2 linked regions of the Yarrowia lipolytica genome follow. The protein of the gene in region 2 binds, or shares a complex with, the protein of the main gene of each other region. Links are inferred from orthologs where the notes say so. Each region holds a gene or a part of one and is shown on either strand. Other genes may lie near its edges.

Region 1 (15,957 bases), on a different chromosome or scaffold from region 2:
AGGAGCGAGAGGAGGGGCTCAAACAGCTCGAAAAAACGGTGAATCGGAATGATTTCGCCCAAAAGGCCACGGATAAAGACCTGAGCATGGTGATCCGGGGCGTGTGCGACAGTATATCACGTGATATCGCATCCTCCGCGGTGACAGGCAAGCGACACACGACTCAAATGTCGATTTTCAAGACGATAGCAAGGGGACATGGACGGTTCAAGGCTAGGAGTAGTCGCCAGTTCATTGTCTCGACAGTATGTGAACTCTTACTGGCCCGGCACAAAGACAGAGGCTCTCAGCTGATTGTGGCCAGTAATCTCCGTCTGGTTCTGAGCCACAAACCGCACCTGGAGCATCTGTTATGGGATCATTACAGACGCTCTGTTGCATGTCTCTGTCGTGAATTGAGCGCACTGTGTGTCAACAGTATGGAAGAGAGTGGTCTGGAAATGCTGATTCAGGAACTCTTACTGTGCCTGGACCTGCTTACTAAACCAAAATACGTGGGAATGGCTGAATTGAAGCATGACCTATGGAACTGCATCGATTCCATGCTCTACAAGTACAAAGAAGTGTCTGAGATGCACGTGTTAATTCTATCGATTTCGGTCTCTTTATTTCAGGTTGTTTTTGGCAGTGACTACGAAATTTGCCACGAAATGGTTCCTTCTATTTTCGCCATTGGAACAAAGCTTTTCACGTCGAAAAGCAAAGCCGTGAGAGAAATTTCGTTACGATTCCTGCTAAAAATGGAGATCTATCTGGCATCTATCTTTGGAAAAACCTGCCCTGTTCCCTTGGACCAAGATAGACTTAATCAGATCGAAGACCACATGGTGGAGTTGTTACAGGTGCTGAAAAACGAGTACAATAGCAGCTCTTTGCAAGACAATGATGTGGTGTTTGAAGACGAGATTGTGCTTGTCAACAGCAAAAAGACGATGCAATTTCTCATTTGTAAATTGATAGCCATGTTGGAGTATGTCTTGTCCTATACTCTGACGGATGGAAACGTCAAGCAAGAGGAAGATTTGCATGGTGAGTAAAACGATAGTGATTTGTGTCAAGCATGTGACAATCACGTGATAAGCACGTGACAGTGGTTTATATGAACTAACCCAGCGCCCCGAAGAAGAACCGAGAGCGACTTATTGGACTTTAATGGTGAGTATGAGATGATTGAAGATGAGACAGCACATGGCAGCACATGATACTGAGAATGAGTGTTGTTCACTAACTCAGGACCCCGAAAAAAACCGCGAGTATCCATCTCCCCCGAAACACCCACTCTCAATGCCATCTCTGCACAAATCCAGGCATTCCAGGCCTCCAAACCCATCTCCGAGGTCGACAAACCTCTTGCATCGCTTCTTTCTTCAATATCTGGGTCACTGGACAAAACTACACGATGGAAATTCTTTTCAGCAGCCAAACTACTCGCTCAAAGTCCACCTCTGAGCCCAAAGAACGCTCATGACGTGGTTTTCCTGACCAAATGGTGGACTGAAGGTGTTGCAAAGCTGCGAACGAGATCCGAAGACTCTGCTTGTGTGCTTCTCACTACCATCCTAAGACAACATAGCTCAGCTCTTGATCCCAAGCTGGTAGTGAGTCTAGCTTCCAATGCCGAGAGTAAGGGGCCACTCAAGTACTCTAATGTCAGTCTGGAGTTCGTCACCTGTGCTTCTCAGTTTTTGATTAGTCATAAGGCGTGCTCTCAGAGTCAGTGGTCCGACTGGTTGTTTGTGGTATTGGCTTCGGAACAGATTGGTGCAACAAGCTCAAAAATGATGCTGGACACTGCTGGGTTGCTGCTGGCGTCAGTGGGATGCCTAATCAGGATGATTGAAACACCCCAGAACACTCTGGAGACTACCACCAGCTCTATCATGTGGAAGACAGACTTCAAAACCACCTCCAGTACCTCTGGTGACATTGAATTGACAGAGTGCATGCCTTCCATCACGATCAGAGACCTCAAGAGCGGCTTTCAAAACTACCTGAACGAATTAGGAGATTGGTGTGAGAGTGCAAGTATAGATGTCAATGTGGTTCTACCTTCCACCGTATTTGCTCTTGTGGTCTGTGCTGTTCTAGACCGACAAGGCACTCCTGTGGGCTTGAATAGTCGTATTTCGGACTTTCTGGCAGTGGTTACTAAACGTGTCGAAGGTGGGTCGTGTGACAGTCACGTTTTCTTTGAAGCCATCACTTTGATCAACCGTCTGAGACACTACAATCTCCTCGGCGACTCTCTTTGCATTTTGTGGGATTCGTTCATAAATGGAATTGAGAAGTTATTGAACGTGAGTCAAGTGACCGAAAACGAGTTTGACCCCGATTCTCCTTCTGGAAAGAATATCATGCCTGATTTACGTCTTTCGTTGCTGTTGAGAGGGCCTCTTAAATCTGAACCCTTTCTATTAGCGATCTTCCCGTCTGACATCAAACAGTACGCTTCTTGCGACCCCGGTAAACGTCTCCCAGAGCTTTTTAGATACGTTGGTCAAACTCTGCTATCTTCATACCTCTGGGACTGTTCTCCTTTGGCCAAACAACTTGTCGTCGACTTGTTGGACGTATACTTCAAAAGCGGCATGACAGAATCGTCAGATGCTGATGATCTGCAACGCTGGGTGTCCCGAGACAAGTTTCTCGTGGGTCCACAGCTGCTCTACGGCCTGATGCAGGTCTCCACGCCTTCAGAATATCTCAACTTGTACTCCAGCGTGGCAATTTGTGCTGCTGAACGAGTCTCTTCACAAGACTCGTACCATTGCATGGATGCGACACTGACTCGCATGTCCTCGGCCAAATCCAAATCACGACTTGTGGTCGAGGAAATGATCGTGGCTCTTCTTAGTGTCCACAGAGAGTGCCTGAGCCTGTTACCGGTGGTTATCGAGCGAGTGAAAACGGATATGCTGCGTCAGAAACTCGACACAGACTCTGAATCTCTGGTGCGGTTCTGCAAGCAGACTGGAACTGATTCTATTCTTGATAAAATCCTTTCCGTCAAGGTAGGTTCTTGTGTTTTTGAAGAGGAAGGGCATTTCTCCACCCAACAGCTCTTATGCAGCGAAGATTCACTCCAATGGAATACCCAGGGACCTCCTTTGGACATTCTGAGTCGCACATGGCCTGATTATTCTCCTTGCACACTTCTGATGTTAGTAAGAGGACTACTTAATTTGATGCTGAAGCCAAGAGTGTCGTTTGAAGTTCCGTTACGCTTGGTTCAGCTCAAGTATGTGCTCTGTCTGTTTCCCAAGAGAGATCTCTGCTCTCCGGATAACTACGTGCTTCAACAGATGGTTTCTTGTCTCATTTCATTCCTGTCTCATTCTACAGTTGGAGCCAGTGTCAGGCATCTGTTAAGTGAACTGTTTGAGGTCATCAAACTACCCCATCTGGAAGGATACATTGCCGATCTCGGAGAACAGTCGTTCTTTGGAGCAGACGTGTCTCAGTTGCTGTATCTACTTCACCCCTCAGAACCCCATCTTTGTAAATACATTGAGTGGGTGAACAGCGGCTTTTCCGATCCAGAGGCGTTCCTATCTGTTTTCCTTCATACAGAAATTAGCGACAAACTTAAAGCTACTCTTCTCAAAAGCCTTGACTTTGGAGTAACCAATATGACACTCCTGGGTCTCATGGACATTGTGTGCACTAAGGAAACAGTCTCCTTTATCAAACGAGCCTCGAAGCTGTATTCTTTCGACTGGGAGGAGTCTAGGGTGCTCAGTCTGCTTCTTGGAAGAGGGTACTTGCTGTTTGGAGAATCTAGCAATAGTGCACCAAAAACCAACACTGAAACCTCATTCTGGAATGCACTCACGAGCGAGTTCCTGACTCTTTTGCGCGGGTCAGACTTTACAGCCAAATTTGCTGTTGAGGTTTGTCTCTCAAAAATCGTAACCAAAGTACAAGTGCAGGTTCCGGCAGAATTACAGCATGTGTTTGACTCTGGAGTGCTGGAGTACACTCATACCGACGAGCCAACTACAGGATGGGTTCAAAAAACGACTCTCGAGTTACTGGGCTTACTAGGAGGTGACTTTGAACTACTTATTCCTCTAGTCAGGACCCTGTCCAGCACGTCTCCCCTTCTCCCGTTTATTTTCAAATGGACGTGTTTGGAGTACTGTCGACAAGGCGAGCCTTCCTATCTGTCCCAGATCCTGTCTCAAAACAGCTCTCTGGTGGTCATCGAGACCTTTTTTTTCGTCAACTCGTTCACTGCTCACCGAACACTCAACTGGCAGCCCGAAATAGTCAACTCAGCACTCACTCTGCATCTCTACACCGAGGCTCTCTACTTTCTTGAGGCTGACAAGGCGTGCTGGGCGAGCCAGGAGATCCAACCTAGCTACTACGACATCTACCAGAACATCGACGATCCGGACTTGTTCTACGGGTTGAAGTTTACGCCGTGTCTTGAGTCGGCACTTAAACAGCTCAACCACGAGAACCAGAATCTCACCTGCTTCGAGTACGAGTCGGGGTTGTTTGATTGGAGTGTGGAGACGGGAGGTGGTGAAAGTAAGACGGACATTCTTTCACACCTAAGCACATCCGGAATGAACGGCCTCGCGTATACGATCAACTCTGATGACGTGTACCGGTGGAAGTTGGGCTTGCTGGAAGACCCCATTCTGGAAACAGGTACAGATGACCAGACGGTGCTGTCTCAACTGAGGAGTATTGTGGTGGATGAGAAACCTGTCCTGAAGAGTACCCTGTCCGACAAGTATCTTGGCATGCAATACTTACTCTATCAGATGCAACTGGACGCGAACTCGGACTATCTGGATCGAATCCAGCCTCCCGACGGAGTCCTAGACATTCTACAGTTTTGTGCTTCAGCCTGGAGAACCATCAAGACTGAGACAGCCTCCTACAATGGTATTTTAACACTGTCAAAGCTTGGAGCTGTCAGCAGAGAACTCAACAATGCGCAAATTTCAAAGAACTGCGCTGTTTCTTTACAGGAACTGTCCAGAACTGCGTCTCACATTTCCGGAAACGTTTGCGCCATTTCCATCGCCTCTTGTCTATGGTCCGAGGCTGCTGTGAGTCGAACGACACCCGTGGAAATGCTCAAACGCATGCTTGGATCGATAAATCCCGGCCAGTCACCTGTATTAGCTTCTCAGTTCTGCCAGGCGACCGTCCTACTCACCGACTGGTCTTCGCAAGCACGTATGATGTCTCCCGAGAAGATTCATCGTCTTTACATTGCCGGAGCAAGTGAGTACATGGCCCTGATTCCGGCCGGCAACCCGAAAACACGCATGTTTCACGTGTTTGCAAAGTTCTGTGAGACCCAGCTGCACTCGCAAAACTACGACGAGCAGATTCACAACGCTGTTATGGACATTGAACGTCTGGAGGGTGAATTGGCGAACCTGTCGCGAATATCAATGACCAGGGAGATTAAACACGCGCAAAGAATCTCAAGGAAGTCGCTGGATCGTGCCAAGGAATCGAAACTTAACTACGAGAGACTCAAGGCTATGTTCCTTGACTCGGCAGTGCAATTCTACCTTCTTTCGTGTGCTGTCCGAGACTCTGAATACCATGAAGATGTGACTCGGCTGATTTCGCTCTGGTTTGGCAATTCGCACGTGAACTTTGTCAATGAACGTATGCAGGACTACGCCCTGATTCCGTCGTTCAAACTGGCTCCTCTCATCAACCAGCTGTCTTCCAAGCTTTCTTACGAGCCCAACAACTACTTTCAGACGCTTCTCCTAGACCTAGTGTCTGCCACATGCAAAGCTCACCCATTCCACTGTCTCTATCAAATTTCATCCCTCATGCGCACCGACGCGTCTCCCCAGACTGAGAGACGCATCCAGGCCGCAGTCAAGGTGTGGAACACCGTTAAAACGCAGGAGAAGACAATTTGCCGAGCCATGGAGATTTTCACTGACAAATGCGTGGAGCTGGCAAACGCCGAATGGCCTGGTAAGGGTCAAAAGGCGTCTATCAATCAATTTCCAAACGGCTCATGGTGGCAGAATGGTCTTAGGAAGCTCAATATACCCCCTCCCACTGCTCAGATTCCGCTATCTCTCGATTACACCGACATACCGTCAATGAACAAGGTGCTCGCGCAGGTGATCAAAGCAGGTGGTATTTCGCACCCTAAAATCATGGACTTCCAACTCTCTGACGGCTCAGTGTCCAAGGCGCTTCTCAAGGGAGGCAAAGACGATATGCGACAGGACGCTATCATGGAGCAGGTGTTTTGCAGAGTCAACCAGTACTTTTTGGGCGACCCCGAGACCCGCAAACGTGGCCTGTCTATCAGAACGTACAATGTGGTACCCATGGGTCCTCGAGCAGGCATGATTGAGTTTGTGGCCAACACGGAGTCTCTCCAGGCAGCTCTGGTGCCTTTACACGAAAAAGACGACTGGGATTACCTTACCGGACGGACCAAAATGAGTGCGGTAGCCAAGGAGAGCAACAGTCGACGGGTCGAGGTACTGGAGGAAATCTACACGCACGTGACGCCTGTAATGAGCCAATACTTTTTTCAGAACTTTCGTTCGTCCGCCCAGGCCTGGTTCAAAGCCCGTACCAACTATGTGCGTTCAGCAGCTGCTTCTTCCATGCTTGGTTACATTCTTGGTATTGGAGATCGACATTGTAACAACATTATGATTGATTACAAGACAGGTCAATTGGTGCATATCGACTTGGGTATTTCGTTTGACCAGGGCAAGAACCTGACTGTGCCTGAAAAGGTGCCCTTTCGACTCACAAGAGACATGGTTGATGCCATGGGTAGTGTGGGAGTCGATGGGCCATTTAGGCGCTGCTGTGAATTGTCCCTGGGTCTGTTCCGAGAACAGCAGGATAACATTCTATCGATTCTCAACGTGCTTCGTTACGATCCGTTGTATTCGTGGACAATGTCCCCCAAGAAAAAACAAACAAGAAGCTCTTCGGGATCAGACTTGTCTGATATCAAGTTGGAGGAGTCCAACGTGACGGCAGACATGTGTCTGAGCGGTGTAAAGGGGAAGCTCGCAGTGAGATTGAGCACGGAGGCCGTGGTGAGAGAGCTGATTGGGGAGGCGGTGAGCGTGGAGAATCTGGCTGTGATTTTTCACGGGTGGACGCCGTTCTACTGAGTTCTCAGAGGCGAATTCAGGCGAATCCTCACTCAGGACACAATGAGAATGTACAACACTTCAGCTTGAGTACGTACTTGACCTATGGCTACTGTCCACTGTCCTACTTGAACAGTGTCGCTCACTACTTGTAGCATGTCGGAGTTGACACAGGGACATATTTGTATATAAATAACATGACATTGATGCATTAAATGTACAACGAGAGATGGTTCGGCTGTGAAATGCTTGTACTCAACAGAACCAGGCAGGCTAAATGAAGTTCGAAGGTAGAGTATCACAGAGATGATAGATGGAAGAAGTATGTGCTTGTTCATAAAGACACAGGCTCTACACAGATGGTTTCAACTTTGGAACCCCAGAATGTAGCCTAGCTAGACGTACAATAGCATCAACAGTTGCATTACGATGTACTGTATGTACTGAGGGTAGAACTCCATGAATGGCCAATAAGTTACAATGTAGAGTTCAAAATTCGACTGAAGTAAGCAAGACAATATAACCTATCACAAAGAACCCATCAAATCAACAGAGAGACTTATGGATCACTGGAAGGAGCAGCAGAGTCAAACTCGTTAACATTGTCTCCACAAGACTATCATCTGTCTCAGGGACCCATTCACTAGACCCTCAGATCGTTTTCGTTTCATAACTTGACTATATACACTTTATTTTAGTTGTTGGTAGGCTCGGGAGCATGTGAGTATGTTAATGTTCAAAAGCCTGGGTCCAGATAAATTCGCCAGGCTCATGACCTAGTGAAATCATTAGCTGCTCTCATGCTTACTTGGCACCCATATCCAACGTCATCTCCACGGCCTTCTCCTTCCAATCCTCAATTCGCTTCTGCTCATGGAACAGGTTTCGCTCCACCGACGAGGTAGAGAAGCAGGCTCCAAACATATCAGCCTCCTCGGCGGCAGTGACGTTCTGCACATCTTCAGCCATTCGCAGCTTGTAAAACTCGAATCGAGCCTTGTCGTAGGCCTCCAGAAGAGCCTTCTGGTCGTGGGTCTTCTTCTCACCCAGAAGATAAATGGTTCGCTGAACCACAGACTCACCGTCGAGCTTCTTGTTGGCCTGGTACATCTTGGACCAGTCCTGGGTCACGTGATCGTCACCGCTGTTCTCCACAATCAGCTTGGGTCGCGCCAGCTCCCAGGGATGCTGCTTGTAGAAAATCTCTCGGATCTCATCCTCCATGAACTTGAGGTGCACGGGCTCATACAGATGCCGGGTTCGCACCCGCACCGGCTTGGACCGCGTCTTGATAAACTCGTTGAGCTTTTCAGACTCCCGCTGGGCGATTCGGGCCAGCTTCTCAAAATGGGGTTTGTGCTGGTAGACAGTGGTGGGCATGTTGGCAGCCATGGCCCGGTACCAGATGGGCTCGTGGGAGAGCATGCCGGAGGCAATTCGGCCACTGGTAATATGCACAATATCCACGGCGGCGGTCTTGATTCGTTGCGACATGGTGTGTGGGGATACAAGTGTGTTGTTTCACAGATGTGAATGTGAGATGTTGTGGGATCATGCTTTTTTCACTGAAAAAGTTTATCAGGAGGAAGAGATATTGGGTATGGGAATAGAATGGGGGTATGGCGGAGATGAGGAGAAAATGGATAATCGAATATTACTCAGTAACACTAGTTTAATGAGAAGCTCTTTTTTGGTTGTAGGAATTCCCCTTCAGATAGCCACAGTGCGCACCCTCCCCTCTTTCTATAGGTTATGAGCGAAAACAACTATAAGTCATTGCTGGGAGATGTGTGGGAGGGTGATTCGGAGGTGGAGCATGATGTGTATGGAGAAGGAAAAAGATTCCGCGGATTTTTCGGGTGTATTATAACTGAAGAAACTATTATTGAATCAGTATATATCCCAAGATCCTTCTGTATATGGACAACTTGTACACATATCCGCAGTATGTGTGCCTGAACTTTGTATGGCTAACAAAAGATGTATACAGTCTTAAACGCTGTTGGAAGTAGATGAAAGTACCATCGGTCGGTATTTATGACATCTTCTTGTCAACAAAACTTCTACAATCTCTTTAACTTGTCTAATACCCCTACAACAGTGCTATCTAATGCTCTCATCCTACTAAGTTTTACACCAACTAATATCCAAAGTTAGTTGACTGGGAAATTACGCGATCAACAAAATGACTGTCTTTCTCTCGCCTTCAATATTCACCCTAGAGGTTTAAATTTTGAACCAGGCACATCTGCGATACTTGAATCATATAATACGTCAAATTTGTGCAATAACACTCCATCTGACACCAGACCAAACACCCTTTGACCTTCCCCAGATTTTTTTAAACTTCTCCATCCTGCAACTATTTTCTGATCTCAATATCACCATTCAACAATGCACAAAAGGGCCGTTAGAACGGTGCTCCGAGCCAGTTCAGCTCGCGTGACTCCCACCCGTGCTATTTCCACTCTCATGGAATCGAAAATCCGCCAACTCCGCCCGTTCGACGTACCTTCTGTGTCTCAATCTCAGCCACCCCCACGCAAGGGGCGCAACACTGATCCAGAGAGTCTTAACTACTACGAGACCCGCCAGCTGCGGTACATGGTGCCACGGAAGCGTATCAACAAATCTGTCTACGCCTCCATCACCAAGGCGCTCTATTCGAAAGAAATCAACATCGACGACATCTACAACCTGTATCTGAACCTGCCCACACCCAGACCGCTTCATCTGCAACATGCTGAGTTGGAACAACTGCTGGATCTGATCATATCGCCGGCTCTGCGTGATAAACACACCATCAAGCGGTTGTTGACTATCAGTGAAGACATGCGCGAATGTAAAATCCCGTTATCTATCAAGGAAGTCAACACCTTGGTGTACCTCGTGCTGAGAGACAAAAACTGGCAGACTCAATACAACCCGGCAAAGCCAGCGCCCCCGAGTTCGGCAGACATGGAATACATGATGCAGCTGCTCTCAGGAAACGTCGAATGGCCTGTTTCTACCTTCAATATCGCCTTGGTGATTTGCAAGGGAGATAATAAGGCATTTCAGGAGCTGCTGGACAAAATGGAGCAAAAGGGAGTGCAATGGGACGCCACTACAGTACAGACAGTGTTCAGACAGCGACTAAGGGCTGGTGAGGACACTCTGGAGACCTTCTACAGTCTTTATTCAGGCAGAGACACGGGACCCCAAGATGTCAACATTCTGATATGGGGGTTACTGCGAAGTGGTGAAGGAGGATACGACAAGGCTGTGGCTGTGATTTCGCATCTTGCCCAGTTCTCCACCAGCGAGATCAACAATGCTGTTCGTCAGAACAAGAGTGCTTTCAAAGCTGCGAAGTTCGAGAGGAAGACGGCCCGGAAGAAGAATGCCAAGACTACCACATACAAGCACATGAGCTCTATAGGTGACATTCCTCCGACAACCATGACTCCCGAAACGTTTTCCATGCTCCTCCATCACCACAAATCCTTCTCAGAGTGCACCAGAGTGCTCAAAATGGCCCAGATGTACTTTGGAGAAGTGCCCACAATGTGTCTCCAAGACATGTACCAAGGGTTTGAGAAGCATGAGACGTGGACGGGCGATGATCTCATTTATCTGACCGAGTACGTGCTTAAAACGAAGCCTGACAATGCCATTTTCACTCTAGAGCTATTCATGGCGGCTCTGAAGGCGTACAAGGCGACCGGGGTGATCGATGCTCGAGGAGGAACTGCGTTGATTTCCGAGGCCAACTGCCTGGAGGCCGTGCGACTGGCAAGGACGGACGAGGAGAAGCAGGCGTACATTTTTATTTATTTTAGACGGTTGCATGTTCAAAAACACCAGGGGCTTGGAGGCGGAGAGCTGAAGCCGCCCATCAGCATGGTCCAGGAGTGGATGGACGTGTTTCTGGACAAGTCGCGGTATGCCAGAGAGATGGCTGCTCCTAAGGAGATGCAGGAGGAGAAGGTGGAACAGCCTACACGGACAGCATGGTCGAAACTGGAGGAAGCGGACTTTTACATTGAAGCTGAGATGGAAACTAGGGTTGAGGAGGACCTTCAAATTGGAGATGAGTCTACCAAGGACGCAAATGAATCGACAAAATAAAAGGCCTTGTAGACGACTGTCAAATCGATGAGGAACTTCTTGAAAGGGGACGTCAGGAGGCGAGTGAAACTGGACGAGAAGAACCCCCAACATGAAGGGAGGAAAGCAGGCCCCAAGTGATGACAAAAATACTTTTATATCGGAAAGGTCCGATGACAATAGATTGCATTTTTTACTTCTCTGGAGGAGGGGAGTAGATGGAAAGATGAACGCGCGTGTGTGTATATGTAAACATGTGAATGGGGGTAGCAACATCAAACCAGTTCCACATTTGTAAGGTTTTTCTAAATTGCAATTTGTTTGTTAAGCCAAACGCTTTTTTGAGAAATTGACTGGACTTAGATATATGAAACTACCCGTACTTATACGAGTCCACACAGTATGTGCTTGTAGAATAGTATGTACCGAACGATGTGGATACCCAATACTCCATCCTTGGGATCTTCATTGTACAGTTGTCTGCTCGTTTTTTACTTGGCAACTCTTAACCACTAGTTAACTATTGATGGAGTAAACTTGAAGATATTAGTGGAAAACATAGATTTACAATCCTCGTTTTCTTCACCAATAATTGTCTAATCCTTTATATAACTACTCTCATCTACTTGTAAATGATTATTATTCCTCTCACCATTAAATCGAGGCCCCCTCTCCTCCATTGCCCCTTTTACTCGCAGTCTTAACCATCATTCAACTTCTGGCGCATGCACAACAACTACAGTATGTACAATACGTACATTCATTTCAAAGGTTATTCTTTCACGGCAAAGTTATAATTAAATGAATGTATATGCAAAAAAATACAACTAACTTCAACACCTACATCACCACTTACATCAACTCCCTTCACAACCAAGTAGTCCTCCAACTCGGCTAAAATGGTGAGTATCGCGCCGCAACAAACGCTACTAGGATTTCTGGTGCACAACTAACACAGTCCGCACTTTTCAACTTCCAATCTCTACTGCTGGTCATCCTGCTCTTCATCTGCACCTCGTCATACGTCCATGCCACTTTTCCCGCCATTATGGACCGGAACAAGACTGGGTGAGTACCAAGTCACGTGACAGACACCAGCCTGTTGCGTGGGCCGCGTGATCCAGTCACGTGGTCCTAACATCTGCGACACGACACATCTCCAACGACTCGGTAAGACAAACGGCTGTGTTCCCAGTGTCACGTTCCACACGTCGATAGCAACATAAGTGACCTGGCACCCAATTCTTCCACGTGATTCTCCTTCAACAAAAGAGCGAGCTATCTGCACACCTGAACTTGGAGTTGATTCTCTTATGGCAAGCAACAGCAGCTAGATCATACTGTGCTGTGATCTTCATAGTAGGGTGAGCTGGAGTTGTAGTGAAAAAAGGGGCCATATGGTGTTCCACATTCTGCTTCGTATGGCTGCTAACTGCTCCCACAAGCTCCACTTACAGCTGTCCCACACGTTCTATATTACTCACTGCTTGCCTACCAGCTGCGTTCATGTCCATCCGTGTCCGTTGGTGATGTTTCGCACCATTCACTTCCATCCACCCCCGTACTAACACAGACCCCTCGGCATCTTCTGGAAAGCAGCCCGAATTGGCGAACGACTCAGTCCGTACGTGTCCCTGTGCTGCATCGCCATGGCCGTCAGCAAGTTGATTGAGTAGTCAGCAACTTACAACTAACATCCATCGACAGATGGCAAAATAGAGAAATAAGCAATGGTGGATATATAGAAATGAGACTTTTTAAAAAGCAGTGGTTATCTGTTAGAGAAGAGGCTTTGTTTGTGGTGTGCAAATGGACAGGCAGGACCTTTTTTCTGAGAAGAACGGATACGAGGAGTTGAGAGTACCTTAACTACAAGTAGATCATACGAGAAGAACATGATAGTTGCATTCTTATATCAAACGGATCGTGTCTACAACCCATGAGTGCTATACCGAAAAGTCTCATGTTTAGCCGTGTGTGAAACGAAGGACATATAAATACAGTAGCTCTCTCACAAGTTACAGTGGGTACACGCATGATCTCGACCAGTTGTATCTTTATTAGTGTCTATATATGTGGTCTTAAAAGAGATTGTAGAGAGTGAGCTACCCGGGAAAGAAATGAGTGAGATCAGAATCCGTCATTAGGTGTATAAGCAGCTTCGGTCTGGGAGTTATGTGTTTAATAAAACTCATAACTGCTCTCTCCGCTCTTTGCCATTGTCTTCACTCTCTTCGTTCCCACAATTCTCTCCAAGGCCAACAGGTCGTAAATGGTAAACAGGGCTCTGCACTTTGCCATAGACTGCTCGAGCGTTCCCTCATCGACCGAGTGGGTCAGAAACAGCAGTAGCTCTCTGTAAAAGGCCGGGTTCTCAGGGAGTTTATAGATAACTACCGACTTGACTCCCTTGACAAAGTATCGTCGGTAGTGATGGAGACGTCCCGTGTACAGCAGAATCTTTTCTCGGCCGTCTCGGAAGAGCGTTCGGTGTCGTTTGACCTCGGTGATGGAAGAATATTCACTGATGGCACCAAAAGAAATGTTCTTCTCGTCCATGTAGTTTCTGAGACGCACAAGTTCGACGTAGGTGGGCACGTAGATGAGAGTTCCGGAGTAGTCTCCCGAGCGAATCATACCCTCAAGCGTGATTTGCACAAAGGCCTTGAATCGGGCATCGATTTCATCGGACACAGACAGAGCCTTGAACCGGGTGAAAATCTGGCGGATCTTCATGCCTGCCACTGCTAGCTCTCCGTTGTAGATTGGAGTGATCTTGGTCTTGCCCGCAAAGTTGACTGTGTTGGAAAAGACAGAGTTGATGGTTGGAGTGACAAACTGGCAGGCGACAATGGTCTGTCGGAAGTGCTTGGCTAGTCCGTCAAGATAGAAGCTCTTGACTCGGCTAAAATCACAGCCATGAGATTCGTTGGGTAGCAAGTTAGTCTGGCCCAGCACCGTCAACACATTGTCCCAGCTCTGCATCTCCATGTGGTTGGTTTCATGCAAGTAGGCGATCTCGATGGACGACAGGAAATCAAACTCCCGCTTGGAGTCACCCTCACTGCCCACAAGCGTTTTGAGACCCAGAGGAGACGCAAATACTATGTCAGCCTGGTAAAAGTACGAGTAGTACCGGATGCTCTTGTTTCGTAGCTTGACGCCCAGACAGAACATGTCGTCAGTGTTGCCCTTGAAGGCCTTCTGGAAGTCCTCGGGCTTGGTGTCGAGCACAGCGCCAGCCTCGTGGAACGCCTTGTTAAACCGCGCCTTGTTATCTTCTCTATCGACTCCTGAAGCGCCAACCAGTAGTTGCATGAACTCGAAACAGGCGTTCTTTGTGGGCACTAGCACCAGCACTCGTGGCTTTGTGTATCCCTGATCCCGGAACTCAACGTCGTGGATTCCCTCCTCGGCGTTTCGTTTCAAAATACGTGTGTTGTATGCCACCTCTTCAGCCGTTCGAACAACATGCTGAGCAATATGCATGGCCACTAGCCGCGAAAACTCCTCGGTATCACTGAGACTCGAGGTGGCGTAGCACAGATCCCGGTAGGCCATGAGTGAAGGGTAAATGGCCTTTTGTACCGACGTCAGAGACCCGTTGAGCTGCTTGAAGCCATCCTTGATCCGGGGCCGAACTGTGTACTTGCTAAACTCGGTTTTTTGGGCTTCGGAAAAGTCCAACAGCTCGTCGGCATCCTCCAGATTTGTGTATGTGATTCGAACGGGCTGGCTACCAATCTTGGTCTTCTCCGACGAGGTTTTCCACTCCTCAGACTTGATGACAGAAACGTACTTGGCTTCCTCAGCCTCGAAATGCAGTTTGTATGGATCGTATTTGTCGGTCTCGGAATCATCTTCAGCGTCCTCCTCGGCGTCATCAGCATCCTCTTCTTCCTCTTGCTCCTCGTCGACCTCCTCTTCTTCCTCTCCAGCACCTTCAATATCGTCCTCCTCCAGCTCCTGCTCCACCGGCTCCTCTTCCTCAACCCGTTTTTCAGCCTTTTTGACATTGTCGCCCATCAGCACCATCAGGGCGTTGTACGACCCCGATGTGTCGACCTGCTGGCGCTTGGGTTTGGTCACTTTGTGAGATCGAGCCATTCTTGCGTGTATGAGTAAGATATTCTGATCCTCAGATATTTTTCCCACTGCATATTCCAGAAGCCTAAAATATTTTTTTATCAACATGCGTAAATGAACGCAACCAGGATTCGAACGGAGACTCGGCGAAAGACACGACGGAGGCTGTCCCTCAGAGGGAGCAGCATCAGCCAGACACTACTTGTACTTGTATGTACGTACGTATACCCGTATCGCACCCCCTTCTGCTGTACCCATAGATCTCATCTGGGTCCAGACTAAGGGTAATAATAACGATGTTACCCCGCTTCTAGCGCACCGTTAAATGAGCCGATCATCTGGCACCACAATAATTTCGGCTCCTCAAACAATCACAAGCCCCCTTGTACTCGTGTGAGTACAGTACCAGCACATTCTGAACCTGCACCCTGTCCCCGCTGTATGGAGATGCACATAAAATTAACTGTGTCTCAGCCCGAGCCCTGACTAAAATAAAGAGACCCGAGCGTCCATATAAGAGGAGAAAGGGCAGTCTCCGAGGTAGTTAGGCTGAAAAGAGATCTTATTGGAAGACAATTCGACTCAATCGTCCCACTTAACGTGTCCTGACAACAACAGCACACCACTACTTCCGTGGTATCTCTACCACCCGAGCTGACTAAAA
Region 2 (15,946 bases):
CGCACATTTCTGGGCAATTAACTCCATTAATGTGCATTACTTACGTATAATGGTGGAAGAATACTGTACTGTGATACTTGAGAGCAATAACTGGTTAGTTACAGAATAGATAGGAGACAAGAAAGTTCTTGTTTATTTTCTTTGGATATTAAAACAGACAATGCATTTCATATCAAACACGAACTTCCAGCACCGACTAAATATCATCTCCTTCGTTGATTCTAAGTTCAATTCAGGGGATTACATTTCCCTTCTCGGCATCTCGGCATTTCTAGCATCTCTTGCAATGCATGGAAACCAAATCTCACCAACATTTTCGGGAAGATCTGGTGCCATTGGCACCGAATGAGGTTATAGTGCCCGTTGGCGCCGAATGACTTAGTTTATCGACGAATCTCTGAGATCAAATCTAGCACATGGGTACCACTACAAGTACTGTACATCAGAATGACAATTTACACGTACAGTGCATCTATTAAGTTGCTATAATCATAGCACGACAACTCATCTGACTCTTCACGTCTGATTAAATATCTCATACTCCATACTATGACATCATTTATTCCGTTGATATGATGCAACTCTGCTGTTCTATTTATATCCAAACTTAAATATATACAGTGCAATGTCAGGTAAATGATGTCTGAGGAGCCAAAATAAGAGGAAAAGGGAGGGATTCTCGGTAAGAAAGACTCTCCTGACTTGAATTGGGCTTTTTTTTCGGCCATATTCGTTACAAAATCGCAACTTCTGCTGCGCATTCAAGTCATCCCGTTTGCATATTATATGCTAGTTAAATATAACCGAAAACTCAATATCCAACGGCATCACCGTCTTGAGCGGATATGGGGGCAATCTATTTTGAGCACTTCTATTTCGAGTTGAATCTCAGGCATATATATAGGAGTCCAATCTCCCTCTAGTTCTGTATCAAACAACCACATCCACGACTTCAACCACAACTTCATCTCAACAATGCTCTTCAAGACTTTCTCTCTTCTCACTGCCGCTTCTGCTGCTCTTGCTGCTCCCGTTGCTTGCGAGCAGCCCCAGGAGCACAACGAGCCCTCTCACCCCACCTACTCTCTCCACGCTTTTATGCCTGGCCAGGGAGCTCTCGGTATGAAGGCTCTTCAGATCCGAGGAAACGATGTTGTCTACGGCCTTGAACAGGGCTACTCTTACTTCAAGGTTGAGGATGTTGGAAATGCCATGACCAACGTTCTCTCTGAGGGCCAGGGACCCCGACAACTCTTTGCCGATGTTCAGACCGGTAAGCTCGACGTCAAGGATGGCCCCGTTCCTCCCCTTGAGGGCAACAGCGGAGGCTGGGCTTACAAGGGCGATGGCTCTGTCAAGGAACTCTCTTCCTACGGAACTCGAGAGTTCTACTCTTGTACTTCCCAGACTGATCCTCTCCATGGTGGACAGGTTGTCTACGTTTTCAACGGAGCCTACGCTTGCAAGGAGCCTATCAAATTCACCATTGGTGCCACAAAGGAGTAACTATTCATCTGATTTTCATCTTATCATCAAATCTGGCCGATACCCCTTATCGCATCCTTGATTATTTATCACTCCTTCAGTTTCTTTTTAGCTTCTACTGTAGCCAGGTTTAATATATCTCTTATCATACACACATGGAAGTTCTTGTAATGTTTGTACTATATTGTTCAATCAATGGGTGGGTTGAGGGCTTGAGTTAGTGGTAGTTCGGCTCAATTGAAACCCTAGCTGGACCACAAGTGTTCTATATTAATTCTCTGACCTCTCAGCACTTACGACATTATGATCCTCTACGATGATATAACTACAAGTACAAAAACATCTCCACATAGAACACTACAATTTGTAATTTGGGTGGGACTTCATGGTCCATAATGTATTATCCCCAGAGGTTCAGCTCATCGCTTACATCCTCTTTTCTATAGACTAAAAGGTTCGGTCTCGTCTACATCCTCGTGTCGAGGTTCGACTTCCTACATCCTTTCTGAATGCGAATCTTGGATCTAGAAGATCAACTTCCGACTGCCTTTAGTATGGCTCCTCTGTGGAGCTCTGACTCTTTAGATCTGGCTCGTTGGCTCTGGATCTCTCTGCTCTTATTGCATAACACCTAGCTTTTATTGGCTCATTGGCACTCATTGGCTAATTGTCATGGCTCTGGCTCTTACTGATTGGCTCTGGCCCATGCTCTCAAGGTGCTGGCATTCTGCTCTCGCAGTTCACAGTTTCACCTTCGCGCTGTCGTCATCGTTTCACAGTGTCACTCTTGTGCTGGCATAACTTGACGTGTCTCAGTCGCTTCCAACGTCTCCTGCTCTGGGGGCTGGTGGAGTTTCACCATCAACAGCTCCAGGCGGCTCTTCCGCGTTATCGTGGTGTTGTTTTATTGGCATTTGTCGGTCGGCGGCTCTAGTTCTGGCTCGTTGCGGCCCGGACTGGCTCTTTGCTCTGGCGGCCTGGCAGGTTGGGCACAAACACTTTGCTCGGTGGCGGTCTTTGCAGACGCTTATGCTCAGGCGGAAAAAGCTGGATCAGGTTCGGATCGTGTGTCAGCGGTTCTCTTTACCGTGATTCCTGGTGTGCTGATACCAAGTCAACAGCAGATGGAGGAGACATATGACTGTTCAAACGGCAGTCCATCCCTCCAAAGCATTCAGGAGTTATTATCCATGCAGGGAGTTGCACCCTTGGGCGCTACCCATACTATCGGAGAGCTCATGGACAATGTTTCATATCCGTCACTGCTTCATATCCACAGAGACAGGATTCATGAGGGGCTTGCTAAGCCTCAAACTCGTCATCACTCTGCGTCCTCTTAGTGCATGTACTGAGGGGTTTCCTTTCACTCGGCAGCTTCGTAGCTTACGCTCAGCTTCACGTCTTAGTTACTCGCTCATGCGTTCTTTCACGCACGGTTTTAATCAGTCTCAACAGTTGAGTCGTAGCAAAGGCTTTGCAGCTTCCGCTCAGCAACTTCTGGAATACTGCCTTGCGACAGGACCAGTAGAGCAGACCCCAAAGTGTTGTTCGTGCTGGGAATTTCACCCGTGGTTGCGAACCATCTTGAGAGAAGGAGCTCCAGAGTAGATTGCGAATCTTTGCTCGTCATAGCTCCATCCGTAGAGGCATGAAGAGAGATGTGCTGATTCTCCAGCTCTGCAACAAAAGAGAACTCAAGTTGCTTCATGGTAGAAGTGAGCGAATGTCCGCTCGCGCAGGACAAGTACAGGTTCATAGCTTCCGCTCATCCGTGTCAGCATCTCTCGAAGTGATCAAATCCTCTGCAGAAGCTGAAAGACTGATCGACTTCTGATGCTTGAAAAACAGGGCGATCGAGGGGCCTTTTATATTGTTGAAGTAGCCGGATTGAGTTTCGAAAGACCTCGTCAGAGTTGCATTAGTGGCAAATATTAGTGTCGATCTCTGCATGATTGAAAGAAAGAGAACGTTGTCGAAGGAGAAAGAATACCAGAGAATCTGTGGAGGTTGACGTGACGGCGAGCGAGAAACCGCAAACTAGTTCTTTAGAACATTTTGGTAAATTGTAGACGGTAATGTAGAGATGAACCGAGACCTTTGTCAAAAATAAGGTTAGTCGGATACGATGATGAAACTTTCTTTTTACGCTCGAACATTCTCTCTCTGAAGAACATTCTACGGGGAGAGAAAAGGGCTGTAATATGAGTTCGGAGACCTTCTATATGAATGTAACAAGGATATTCAACTTCATTCCGTTCCATTCTAACTTGGAATTTGTTGAATTATGTGATCTCGTGGATGCTAGTTTCAAGGAAAATTACTGTCGTCTTAGTCGAAGAAAGGAAAGAGGGGCCTTATGGATACACACATACTGTCCAAATAACAACGGTATGGCCAGTACTTAGGATTATGGTATGTCTTCTACAGACCCCGCCAACTGTGCTCTCTCTGGAGCTTAGACATTACTTATCTGACGAGAAATCGTAGTTTCATGTGGATACCATAGCTTCTTCAAACCGTGACCGAATCGCCAACTCAAAGCCGACCATCTCAACATGACTTGAATCATTTTCGCATTGACTGGTTAGCAAGAAGATTACCTGTAGGACAGGCCTGGCGTTTTGGAGATTTGCAAGAACTCACAGAGTACTGCTTTCGAAGAGCGATTATGAGTACCTCGGTGGGGGTTCTGATCCCGTCTCCGTTCTGCTAATGTCCTTATAACTCGAGTAGATTCGAGTCGTAGTTGAGCTCATTGACTCATAAGTCCCACGCATCGTTATATACCAGTACATCCTGTACATACGGTACCAAAGAGGTCATTTCCCGTGTGACTTAGACTCCCGTACGAACAGTTCCAGAAGAACTGCACCAATTCTGTTGCCATCATATATCATTGCCATGTACCACACTGATGAGCAGCAGATCCGTCTGGTCAAGTTCCGGTCTCAAGAAGGACTCTCCCTCAATCATTAGACACTCGATAGGCTTGACCAATCGGGAAGTGTAGATGGAGGTTTCTTCTCAGTGCTAGCCATGATTGACAACGGCAGAACGAGCCTACAAAGAATACCTTTAATGAGAAATTCACCGAGCCGATCCATCAGTAAATATAATAATAATAATAATTACTTTTTTAATTCATATTTCGCGTTGCGACTTCTTAAAGAAGAACTATGAAAAGTAAATATTATCAGTCAGTTAGTAGGAACCTCAGAGGCGTGATTCAACTTCTCTCAAACCCCTACCCCTGCCCTTAAAACCGAGTTCATCAACCATTTTCCTGAGATAATTACCCCAGGCCGCACTCCCCAGGGTTGGAGTACCTCCTTCATGGAGACTATCGAGCTTTTCTGGTCCAAAATCATTGACCTACTACTGGTATGTTCATTCGAGTCAAGAGTTATTCGACTCTGCCGAGTCCAGCTGTTACCCTTGGTGATGGACCTTTATGATGGCACGTTTTGAACAGGAGATTAACAACGGATTTAAGGAGTAAGTGGCCAGTCGTTCCTTATATGTGAGGGAAACTTCTACATGTCACTCGCTTACTTTAATTGATTACTATCTCATTAACTGTACCTGCGGTGGTCTTTTGTTCTTCGTGATAGCCATTATATGCAGCCTTAGTGGATAGCCCTGTGTGTCCTATAATGCGGTTATGGATCAGGTGGTGTCGAAGAAGATCTCTGTAGCCCTTTGAATGTCCCTAAAGCGAAATTCCCATGTTCTTTGCGATGGTCTGGAACTCCTTTGTGCCGGTCGAAATGTAGTACCGAATCTTCAGGATATCCGACTCGTTTTTGCGTCGATCAAACTCGGTTCGGGCGTAAGTAATAAGTTCATTCCGGGTTGTAGGCGGAGTGGTGTACGCTGCTTTGCAGATGTCTCGCCACAACTGACGGGCTGCAGCTGCTTGAACGAACTTGGGTTAGCATTTGACTGATGCGTAGAATTGACCCCAGATGATGCTCTGCTCTTGAGAGTTACCACTGTTGACATTGCAGACTTTCAGATGTCACATATCAATGGTAGTTCCAAAACTTTCGGCGAGATTATGGTACTGCTGTTTCCTTAGATCACCCGTATTCGTATATCCACCCAACAGCAAGTAACAGCTGATCTCATGGCACCACAAGAACGACCTGCCAAACAGAAGAAGCCACTCCCCTGACAGCCATTACACTAGCGTTGCCAGCTTGGATCACGTGACTCCTTTCTCCAGACTCCTTCTCCAATAATCCGATATTTGTTGGCAATTTCTGCAGTGGTGCCTTAGTTGGGATCGGGGTTGAGTCAGCACTTCTGCTGCTATGACCTTCACCCAGTTCTAGTCGCCGTTGCGACCAGCTTCAGGTTCTCAATTCTCATACTCACATGCTCCAACGATTTATTGGACTTCAAGGTGCTGGCGTGCCGAGCAAAAAACATTCTTTGGGGTGTTAGTTGCAAGTGAGATAAAATTGTGATAAGCCTGGAAAGTGTAGTGGTGGAGTGCATGACACCATGTGGAACAAAATTAAATAAATAGATAGAATAAAATAAAACAAAATAAAATAAAAACAAAAAAACATCTGTACTGTACTGTACCTTGGAGGAGATAACAATATCAAGATCTCTACTTAACGCAACCTTTCAGGAATTAATCCAGGTTTCAATAAAAAGATTACATCATACGTTATTGTACAGGATACATTATTATACGAGGATAAAACGCGAGGTTGAGCCTTTTCTACTACACACAACTCTCGCAGAAACTACTCCAAAAATACGAACAGTCGAGCTGGTCTCATCAAACTGGCTCGAACTGGCCCCCGGCTGTATCAGAAACATGAATTTCTACATCTGAAGAATCTTGAGAGGATCTGATGCTGAAAAGATGAAGTGGTGACTCAGATCTGGGGTTTGTTCCATCTTTTATCGACGTGAGACTCATCCTCAATCGGCATGTCAAACTCGGTATCTGTGTTAGACACTTGCCCATTGGAATCTTCTCAGGTGTCTCCGAAACGTTTCGGTCCAAGTCAGGTCGTTATCAGGTCGACTTTACTTACTGTGTATAGTGCCGATCTCTTTGTTTCATCCTTGGAAACATGGTCACACGCATAGCGGACAGAGATTGGTGCGAGTGTTCCAAAGCGGGTTCAGATTGGTGGCGAGTGTTCCAAAAGCGGGTTCAGGTCTTCGTCACAGAGATCCCCAGGCCCAAATAAGGCACAAGTACTGACTAGTTCCACGGTATGTGCCAGTGGTAGCTATAGATTGTAATGATATAGATGACAGGGAATCTTGAGAAGATGAAATGAATCAAGGAACATATCTATAAGGTATGTCGCGAGATCATTGGTCAGAGAATGACATAGGAGTTAGGTTCTCTGTAATGGCAGAATTGTGTGCTGCCAGACGTATTCTTTCTGTAAGACTATTGCATACTCGTGCCATCTCAATCAAACATCTTCGTTATCTTATATACAGGTATACCAACAACGGCCAAGTGCAACCACCACTGACAACCTATCGTTCTGCTCAAGGCAGCCAAGTGGCGTCTCCACAAGACAAATATATACAGTTCTCGTCTCTTATCGCTTGACCCAGGTAGGGGCGGCTCGGGCTCGTCGGAGACCAGGCTTCTTTCGCTCCTTGGTACGGGCGTCTCGAGTCAGACATCCGGCCTTAGACAGTCGCTTTCGGAGCAGGGGGTTGTGGACAATAATGCCTCGAGCAATGCCCAGAGAAATAGCGCCGGCCTTGCCAGAGTTGCCTCCACCGAGGACAGTAGCAAACACGTTGTATTTGCCCTCGGACTGGACGACCGACAGAGGGAACAGCACCTCGGATCGATGCTGAAGCTCCTTGAAATACTGGGACAGCAACAGACCGTTGACTCGGACTTCACCGACGGTTCCCTCGGGAGCCTTGGTGACAATGACTCGTGCAGAAGAGGTCTTTCGTCGACCTCGGGTCACAGCTCGTCCCTGCTCGTCCAGAGTCTCGATCTCGCCGGACTCTGCGTCGGTATCAATCTTTCGCGAGAATCGACGCAGTAGATCCTTCACCACCTGGGGCTTGAGCTGGTTGTCAATGTAGTACAGATCGGCCAGAGCCTTGGTGAGCTCAGTATGCTGGGGGCCGGAAACGGGCTCGGAAGAACCAAGCATGGTCAGGTAAGTGATTCGGGTCACGAAATTAGGGGGAGAAACACCCTCTCGGTTTCTAGGAAGGAACTCGTACTGACGTCGGACTCGGTTCACGACCTCCATGGTCTGCTCATGAGCTCCTCGACCAGTGTACTGAAGAGCCGTTGCGGGGGCAACTCGCACGTTCTCGGCCGCGCCGCGAGGTGTCTCGGAGATGCTCATGTCCACACCAAAATTCAGGTGCTTCTTTCCTCCTCTCCACTTCTGGGCTTCCTGTGCGTCTCGCTCAGCCCGCTCAGCCTCTCGCACAAACATGTTTTTGGGCTGTCGAGGAGCCTGTGTTGACTGGAACCGCACGGCGCCCAGACTCAGGTTTTTCACCGATCGAGTTAGTCGCAGCATTGTGATTGTGGTGATGTGTGATCTGGTGATAGTTTCCGCCTATTGAGAAATTTCATGGGTGCAAGAATTAGACTTTTGCATGGAGGAAGCTCGCCGGTTCGATTTTGGTCAGGATCATATAGTGTAAGGTTATCTTGAATTCGAGACCGTGACGGGTCTCGATTTGGGCAAAAAACCCATGGAAATTCAGAACAATGTGAATAAAATGTATCAGACATTAAATTGGTCAATAAATGAAAATAATCTTACTAGAATGTCCACTGCGTTCGATTAATGGCCAAGGTGAGACATTTCCACCTCTTGATCACTCGCATTTCTGCTCAACTTGATCAAAATGTTCAAATGTTCAAATGTTCAAATAAATAGTCAATAAATACCCCCTATCCTACCCTTGAAACGCATAAACAGCCTCCTTCAGACCCTCATTTCGTCTCAATACCATATCAAGGTCCCTCATGGTGATAACCACCCGGTTGTCGAGCTTGGCAAACGACTCCAGATCTCCCCCCAGGGTCACTGCCTGCTCAAACACGAGCTCAGTCAACGCATCAACAAAGGAGTTGTCCACAGGCACGCTACGCGTCTGCTCTGTCACAATCCTCGACACAGTTATCCAAATCGCAGATTTGAGACGCTGGGTTAGAATAAATAAGACCCGAGAGACTCGCGTGCACGCGTATCGTCTAGTGGCGTGGTCGTTGATCGCGAGGCCAACTTGTGTTGCATCATCATATGTATCATATGCCATTAGGTGTAATCAAGGCAGTCAATACTCACCTGTGTAATCTCCTCCTTGGTCCCTGTTTCCTTCATTTTGATGAGTGAAAAGTTGAGTTCTGCGTTCAGTATTACTGTACTGTACATATAAACATACTGTACACTGTAGGCTTAGAGTTGATTGTGGGGGAAACTGCAGTGCTGTTAGATCTTGCGAAATTCGATCAAAAAAAACAAGGAATTGGGAAATCAGACATTATGAAACATACCGCCAGTCTTGTTGAATTGTAGGGGATTCCATTCATATCTATACCAGATTTCACTGACTTTTCTTGTGGGAGACTGGAAATTCTCTACCTGCGAAAATTGACCAACCTTGTTAAATAATTGGCTGGAACTGTACGCGGTGTATTCTGCTACTGGCTCTGCCGTGACATAAATGGATATAATTAATGTATCCCTACAAGCTGTAGTTCTAATGAATGTTTGTTGGGTTGTCTAGCTTTCGGCTTTCCTCTTATTTTCCAAATCCTTCTGCTCTTCCAGCAGTCTCTGCAGCACAAATGCTGCCACATCTTCATCTTCCAGGTAACTGATGTGAGATGCAATGGCAGAAATGAATCCCAGATCCAGCACACTCTCCTGAAGAGCATAGTCAATTCGTCCAGTGGCTGACAATGCCCCCAGCTTGGTGATCACTCGTTGTCTCTCCTCGGGAGTCAGCTTCCGTTTGGAGATACTACTTGTCGAGGGGAACTCGGCACCCTCGTGGCTGGGCTGTACCTTCTCCTCTCCTGCTCCCTCTTTTCGTTCCTCTTCTTTCTGTTGCTCCAGGAAGCTTGCGGCATTGAGCAGCTTCTGGGTGATGCTCTCTCCACTCGTGTAGATGGTGTTCCACATCTGCTGAGCCCCTTCAGCGACCTGACGACCGAGGTTGGAAATGGACTCAGTGGAGAAACCAGACTTGGTGAAAGGAACACTGGCAGGACGCAAAAAGGCAGCAAGCTTGTCAACCAGAGGCTCGATTCGATAACTGATAGGGTCTGAGGGGTGGAAGATGTTGTACAGGTACTTAACGTTGGGAGATAGGTAGTTCGAAGTCGGCTGGAACTTGGTTTCGTCTGCAATCAGATTGTTCTTGTGGTTCTCGGCGTCAAAGTGTCGAATGCTGCTTCCCTCCAGAATCTTGAAAAGTCCAAGGGGAGAGCCCATCATGAAATAGTTTTGAACAGGGAATTCCAAGCCATCGGTGCTCTTGTTCTCTAATCCAGGACACGCAAGATCGTTAGATAGAACATCAAACGAGATTACAGAGCCCAAAGAATGACCAATAAGACTGACCTTGCCTCGGAATTTGGGGTTATGCTTTCGGAACAGTTCAACGATTCGGTTGCACTCAGTGATGACGGCCTGGTTGATCTGTCTTCGGTAAAAGGGTTGGTAGTACAGAAGTACGTCGAGAATGACGTCCCCAGCGATGTTTCTGACACTGGAGATACCATCAACAGTAATGTCCTGCAGACAGACCTGTGAATTGGGGTCTCCCTGATGCTGTAGAATGTCTGCCTTGGTCAAGCTGAACGTCACTTGCGATCTCCAGAGAACAGGCAGAACCTGGACCTTGGGGTGTGTCCATTCCCTCTCCTCCTTCTCCTTTTCGGGATCGATTTTCACATCTCGATATTTCTGAAATTGCTTGCCTTCGTTGAACACGCTTTTCATGGTCTTTCTGAGCACGTTGACATCATGAACAAAGTTGACAGACTTGATTCGGCGGCCCAGTTTTTGACCGATTCCATGAACACACAGAACGAGATGGTCGTATTGAGGAGCCTTGTCTTCGTCCTTGGATGCGTGACTACCCGCATTCTCCTTGTTGTCTTCGTAATCCTGCTCCATCTGTTGTTGTTCGGACGCCTGAGACCCATATCGATTACTCAACTTGGATTGTGCGGAGGAAAAGTGGTGTATATCCGGCGTGAGAGGCTCCTTTCGTGTATCTGGTTTGTCATCAAACTTGCCAATGTCCTTGTTCTTCTTCTTGACGTTGTTTTTGTTGTTGTTTTTCTTCTCGTCGCTGTCCTCCTTCTTCTTGACATGATCATAGCCTCGGATCAGCTTGGACGCACCCAGAATGTTACCGGAAGCAATTTTCTGCAAAAAGGCGGCTGTCAGCATACCGTAGACATCGTTGCTCATGATCCACGCAGTGTAACAGTCTGTAGAATAGACACAGAGCTTGCCCTGATACCGTTCGCCCTTGAGCACCCAATTAGTACTGGTTCCTGCTGAGACCTCCTCCATGCTGTTCTTAATACTGATGCTTTTCTCCTTCATTTCCATCCATGGCTTTTTGCTGTTGTAGCCATTTTCCAGCTGGTCGTTGAGCTGCTTGGAACAAGGAATGGCATTTGATCCGTCCTTTAGAAGCCATTCAGAACGCCGAACTTCGAAGATGGGACCCTCCCAATAAACTGGCGAAAGCTCCATTGTGTTGATATTCACTTCAAACAGGTAATCCTCTCGCACAGGCACAATCGCGTCGCTGGTGACCTTGTTCTGCACTTCCTGGTATCGCTTCTCCAAAAGAGCATTGTCCTGGTCGGAGAAAGGCATGAACTTCTTAGGTCGTTTTAGCTCCTCCTTCTTTCCTGTCAGCTTATCCTCCAGAGCCTCGTCTCCAAGCAGAAAGTCGGGCTCTCGAAGAGACACGTCTGTGGCGAAAAACCAGTGGGGGCGAACTGGAGGAGGCTGTAGCGAGCTGAGTATCTCATTGGCGGTCTTGGCAGCCGAACTGGACGTTGTGATCTTGTCCTGGCTCAGAATGGACCTTGTCGAAAAGGTGTGACGGTTAGCATAGCTTCTTGTCGGTAGTGAAACACGTCTTGCTAGAACGGTGGATCCCGTAGGGCAAGTAGTAACAGTAGCACTGGCTAACACCACCACTCTGGATGGGCTTAGCCCTCCGGAACAGTTGTTGAACCTCTGCACCAGTCGCATTGCTGTGGGCTTTTGTGTTGAAATGGGCCAGATTATGAACTGCTCGGCCACTTTGGAGATGTCAGCTTCTCCACAAACATGTGCTTCGGTAATACACCCAAGGTTGCAGCACGCTGCAGAACACGGGGCAAAGAAAGTTTGCCAAAACACGTGGAGAGAGAGATAAGCCGCGTTCCGAGGTCGGTGAGCTAGAAGGCTAGAAGGCTAGAAGACTAGGAAGTTATTAATATTTGGTCACATGATCAGAATATACTGAAACGTCGCTGTTAAAAGTCCCTTTTTTTCGACGATCCTCTTCAAAATCCTCATCTCTGTCGTCTTTCTGACTACAGTATGTACATACACTAGCGCCGTCACACCCGTTGGAGACACTAAACTCTGATCTGGTGACGTAGAGATACTACAAGTAGCAACGTTCGAAGCTGAATAATTGGGCTGGGTAGCACAAATCGTCACATGATTCTGATCTTGGTCCCTTGGCTATTCTGGATCTTTTCTCCAAATCTCCATATCTCCACTAATATACCAGATCCACGTCTTCTTCTTCCGCGAATAGCAATGCAATGTCCTCTCTTTATTTTGTCGAGGGTAACAGCAAAATATTTTAAACGAGAAGAGGGGGTAAGAGGGGGCGGGGGATAAAAAGCAAGCAACGATGGATGTGGTCACGTGAATAGGGACTCGCGAGAGCGGGGTCACGAGAGTGAACAAGGAGGGAGCGGAGACGACAGTGTTTTATTTCGATTTTCCTGTTTTGCGTTCCACATGTGATTAAATAATGCGTTTGAGATTATGGAAAAAAAAAAAAGTACAGTACATACAGTACATACAAGTATGTTGGATGTATTGAAATTGGAATTCAATGACGGGAGAAGGAGTGAGCAGTGGGTTAGAATTGCAATATATGAGGTTGAAACTCCATCAGAACTCCCCAAAAACATTCAACAAACTGTACATTACTCTTCCTGTAACCGTGCTCATACTTTCTTGTATAATACAATCCTCAAAAAAAAGAGAAAACAAAAAGACGAATAAGCCGGCAAGTACTGTACATACATACTTGTACTTTAGGTTCAGATAACACTGATTGACCAACAGAACATTGCCATTGTGCTTAGTAAGCTTACAAAATACTGGTAGGAACTGAAGCAGAAGATCTGGCAAAAAAACGTAGCCCGACGTGGGGCTTGAACCCACAGCCTTGAGATTGCTTTGAATAAGAGTCTCACGCTCTACCGATTGAGCTAGCCAGGCGGATGTTGGGTTCGAGGGTGGTAGAAGCTATAGAAGGTGTAAAAAGGCGAAATATTCCTGGGGAAAACGGGAGTTTTATGGCCCAAACGTATTTTCTGCCTCTTATTTCTGCAGATAGAGCGTTTCTGATTGTTCTTTTGTTCTTTTGTTCTTTTTGCCATCTTTCAGTGTTGGATAGTGCTTTCGGGGCCGTATCTCAACAGTGCACCATTGTTTCCAAGTGCAGCAAATTTTGAGCAAGGACATGCAAGTATTAGTAAGGCTGGAAGGCGAAAAGGCATCACCATTTCTCTTCCATAGAATACTGGTATGTTTCTGTAATCGATTTCATCTTTCCTTTTTCATCTTTTTACTTTGTTTACAGATTTTCCTCCAATTCCGCGAATTTCAAAATTGACTTCCAACAAGTCCGAAGACGCAAATTCCCCAAGAAATCCGGACGGGCAGCCCTTTAGCGACATTTGAGGCTTGTGATGGTTTTTCCTCCTCTCAGCCGTGCGTCCCAACGGACCTTTGGCGGTCTTGCAACTCCGATCGGCCAACTGTACGGTGTACCCCTATAGAGCATCTTTTAGGCTTAAAACTGTAGCTGAGACTGTCTTGTGACGGGGGCGTAGCAGGGCATATCTGGTAGCCAAGGAGTTCCGAGGCATCAGTCGTGGTCCATATTGGTTCGGATGTCGTCGACCATGTATTAACTCTTCTTGTGGAGCTCTGGGATTTTTTCTACACCGGTTTTCAGCGCTACTTGTACCTCGGTCGGAGTTTTATGTAGCAGCTCCGATGCAGACCCATCTCGGACCTGTGCAGCTGACGGTAGAGTCCAAAGCTTGGAGATGAAAGGGGGTTTGGCTAAGAAGCGTATATAAGTAATCTTCATTTCGCCCGGGCGAGCGACTAACAATTGCATGCCACTATGAACCTCCTTCGACCCGTGGCGCAGGCAGAAACCGTGGAAATCTACTTCCTATCACAGCAGGCCCGGTTCAAGCTCATCCGGGAGTCCAATGTCGACGCTCCGGATCTCCGAAAGCTGCTGGCACACGCAAATCTCGTCGACCTGCTGGCAGACGAGCTGCAGAGCCGAAAACCAAAGTCCCGGATCCATTTTGCACAAACAGTGATCCCAGAAACGTTCCAGGAGAGCGGCTGGCAGACGGCCAATTACGATAGTAGTGACGACGACAGCAGCAGCAGCAGCAGTAGTGACGAAGAAGACGATCAAGACGACCAAGAGAATGAAGAAGGAGAACTCATAGAGATTGAGTACGTGGAGGACCATGTCGCATTAGTCGGACAAGGACTCTTGTCACACGCAGACCCGGGAATGTCCCTAAAAGTGCATGGATTGCACCACCAAAGAGGACCATGCGAAGCTGCTCTATCTCTATAGCCACGAGCTGGCCAATGCATGGTGGGTCTGATTATAATGGCTCTTGCTGCATTGCGGACGTGGGAAACGTCCTATTTCGTGCTGACCCTGTACCAGGACAGGTACATGCGTATGGTGATCAGCGAGGTTGTCTGTGTCCTGTTTGCGTAATCATGCGCACAACGAGACCTGATAACGACCGAACAAGGGGAATGTCTGAGGTTTATATATGTCATGGATTTTATTTATTGCACACAAAAGCTTTACCTGGTGGTGGTGGTGATGTGGGTGTATATGTATATACAGTATATATATATATATGACATTAGTAATACACACACAGCCGTCCGAACGGCTATTGGAGGTGGTGTTTAGAGCAAGTTTAGGAGGGCGATTGAAGGGGTATTGGTCGTTTATAGCGGGGAAAAAATGCTTGGATATTTTTCTAGTAGTGTCAGCAGTATATTGACAATATTTTTTGTATTTTGTTTATTTTATTTCCTTTATTACAAATTATTTTCCCTTCTTTGGTCCGCAGTTAAACCCCATGTTAAACTACGAGTAGACTTAAGGTTCCTCGGATGGAGGAAAAAGTCAGATCGACCCGATTGAGCCGATCCCTCAAATAAATTTGAAAAACCACACACACAAGCAGAAAACATGTTGCGACCGGTGATTCGGCTAGCCAGAGCGGCGCAACCCGTGGCCGCCCACAGAACGCTCTTCACGGAAAGCGACACGTGTGTGCGAGTCTTCAACACCATCGACCAGGTGCGAGCATGGAGACGTGAGAAGACCCTTCTGGGCCAATCGATTGGCTTTGTTCCCACCATGGGAGCTCTTCACCGGGGCCATTTGGACCTGGTCAAGGCATCAATTGCCGAAAACGACCACACCATTGTCTCCATCTTTGTCAACCCTTCGCAGTTTGCACCCCATGAGGATTTCGGCCAGTACCCTCGAACTGTTGATTCCGACGTGGCCAAGCTGACGGAGCTGCGGAACTCCATCCAGACTGACGAAGAGGTGCATTACACAAACGAATTCGCCGTTTTCGCGCCCTCCGTCAACGAAATGTACCCTTCTGGTATCCCTCTGGATGTCAAGGAGCAGGTGGGAGCCTTCATTGAGGTCAAGGGCCTGAGCCACCAGCTGGAAGGATCCATTCGACCCCATTTCTTCCGAGGTGTCGCCACCGTGGTCACCAAGCTGCTCAACATTATCCAGCCGGACCGGGCATATTTCGGCCAGAAGGACGCCCAGCAGTGTGTGGTGGTGTCTCGTCTGGTGGCTGATCTGCACATTCCCACAGCCATTACCATTGTGCCTACCACGAGAGAGGCCAATGGATTGGCTATGAGCTCACGAAACGTGTACCTGACGGAAGAATCCAAGGACAAGAGCAAAGTGCTCTACGAGGCTCTGACTTCAGCTCAGCACATGTTCAGGGATACCCCCAACGTCACCTACGGAGACATTCGAAAGAAGGTGCTCGACACCATTGCGGCCTCGGAGTTCTCCATTGACGTGGAGTACGTCAGCGTCAGCGACAAAAAGACCCTCATAGACTACCCGCTAG

What was found.
Region 1: YALI1_B08193g (region 2) and YALI1_D04901g share a complex: the UniProt entries of both Saccharomyces cerevisiae proteins name them as parts of the mitochondrial small ribosomal subunit. The link is inferred for Yarrowia lipolytica from reciprocal best matches to the Saccharomyces cerevisiae genes MRPS9 and RSM25.

Annotation. Positions count from the first base shown.
Region 1 is NC_090773.1:481,538-497,494, forward strand, and holds YALI1_D04901g (mitochondrial 37S ribosomal protein mS23), read right to left. Parts: upstream 8,613-15,957; coding exon 7,923-8,612; downstream 1-7,922. Other genes in the region: YALI1_D04814g (uncharacterized protein), read left to right, coding at 1-1,029, 1,114-1,155, 1,234-7,139; YALI1_D04910g (uncharacterized protein), read left to right, coding at 9,513-11,228; YALI1_D04936g (uncharacterized protein), read left to right, coding at 12,107-12,110, 12,167-12,276, 12,782-12,883; YALI1_D04969g (uncharacterized protein), read right to left, coding at 13,389-15,401. UniProt on the Saccharomyces cerevisiae protein: Component of the mitochondrial ribosome (mitoribosome), a dedicated translation machinery responsible for the synthesis of mitochondrial genome-encoded proteins, including at least some of the essential transmembrane subunits of the mitochondrial respiratory chain.
Region 2 is NC_090771.1:811,429-827,374, reverse strand, and holds YALI1_B08193g (mitochondrial 37S ribosomal protein uS9m), read right to left. Parts: upstream 8,025-15,946; coding exon 7,065-8,024; downstream 1-7,064. Other genes in the region: YALI1_B08263g (uncharacterized protein), read left to right, coding at 976-1,506; YALI1_B08247g (uncharacterized protein), read left to right, coding at 2,623-3,093; YALI1_B08214g (uncharacterized protein), read right to left, coding at 5,195-5,410, 5,863-5,916; YALI1_B08207g (uncharacterized protein), read left to right, coding at 6,433-6,561, 6,604-6,753; YALI1_B08186g (uncharacterized protein), read right to left, coding at 8,410-8,772; YALI1_B08156g (uncharacterized protein), read right to left, coding at 9,240-11,741; YALI1_B08134g (uncharacterized protein), read left to right, coding at 13,912-14,388; YALI1_B08123g (uncharacterized protein), read left to right, coding at 15,028-15,946. UniProt on the Saccharomyces cerevisiae protein: Component of the mitochondrial ribosome (mitoribosome), a dedicated translation machinery responsible for the synthesis of mitochondrial genome-encoded proteins, including at least some of the essential transmembrane subunits of the mitochondrial respiratory chain.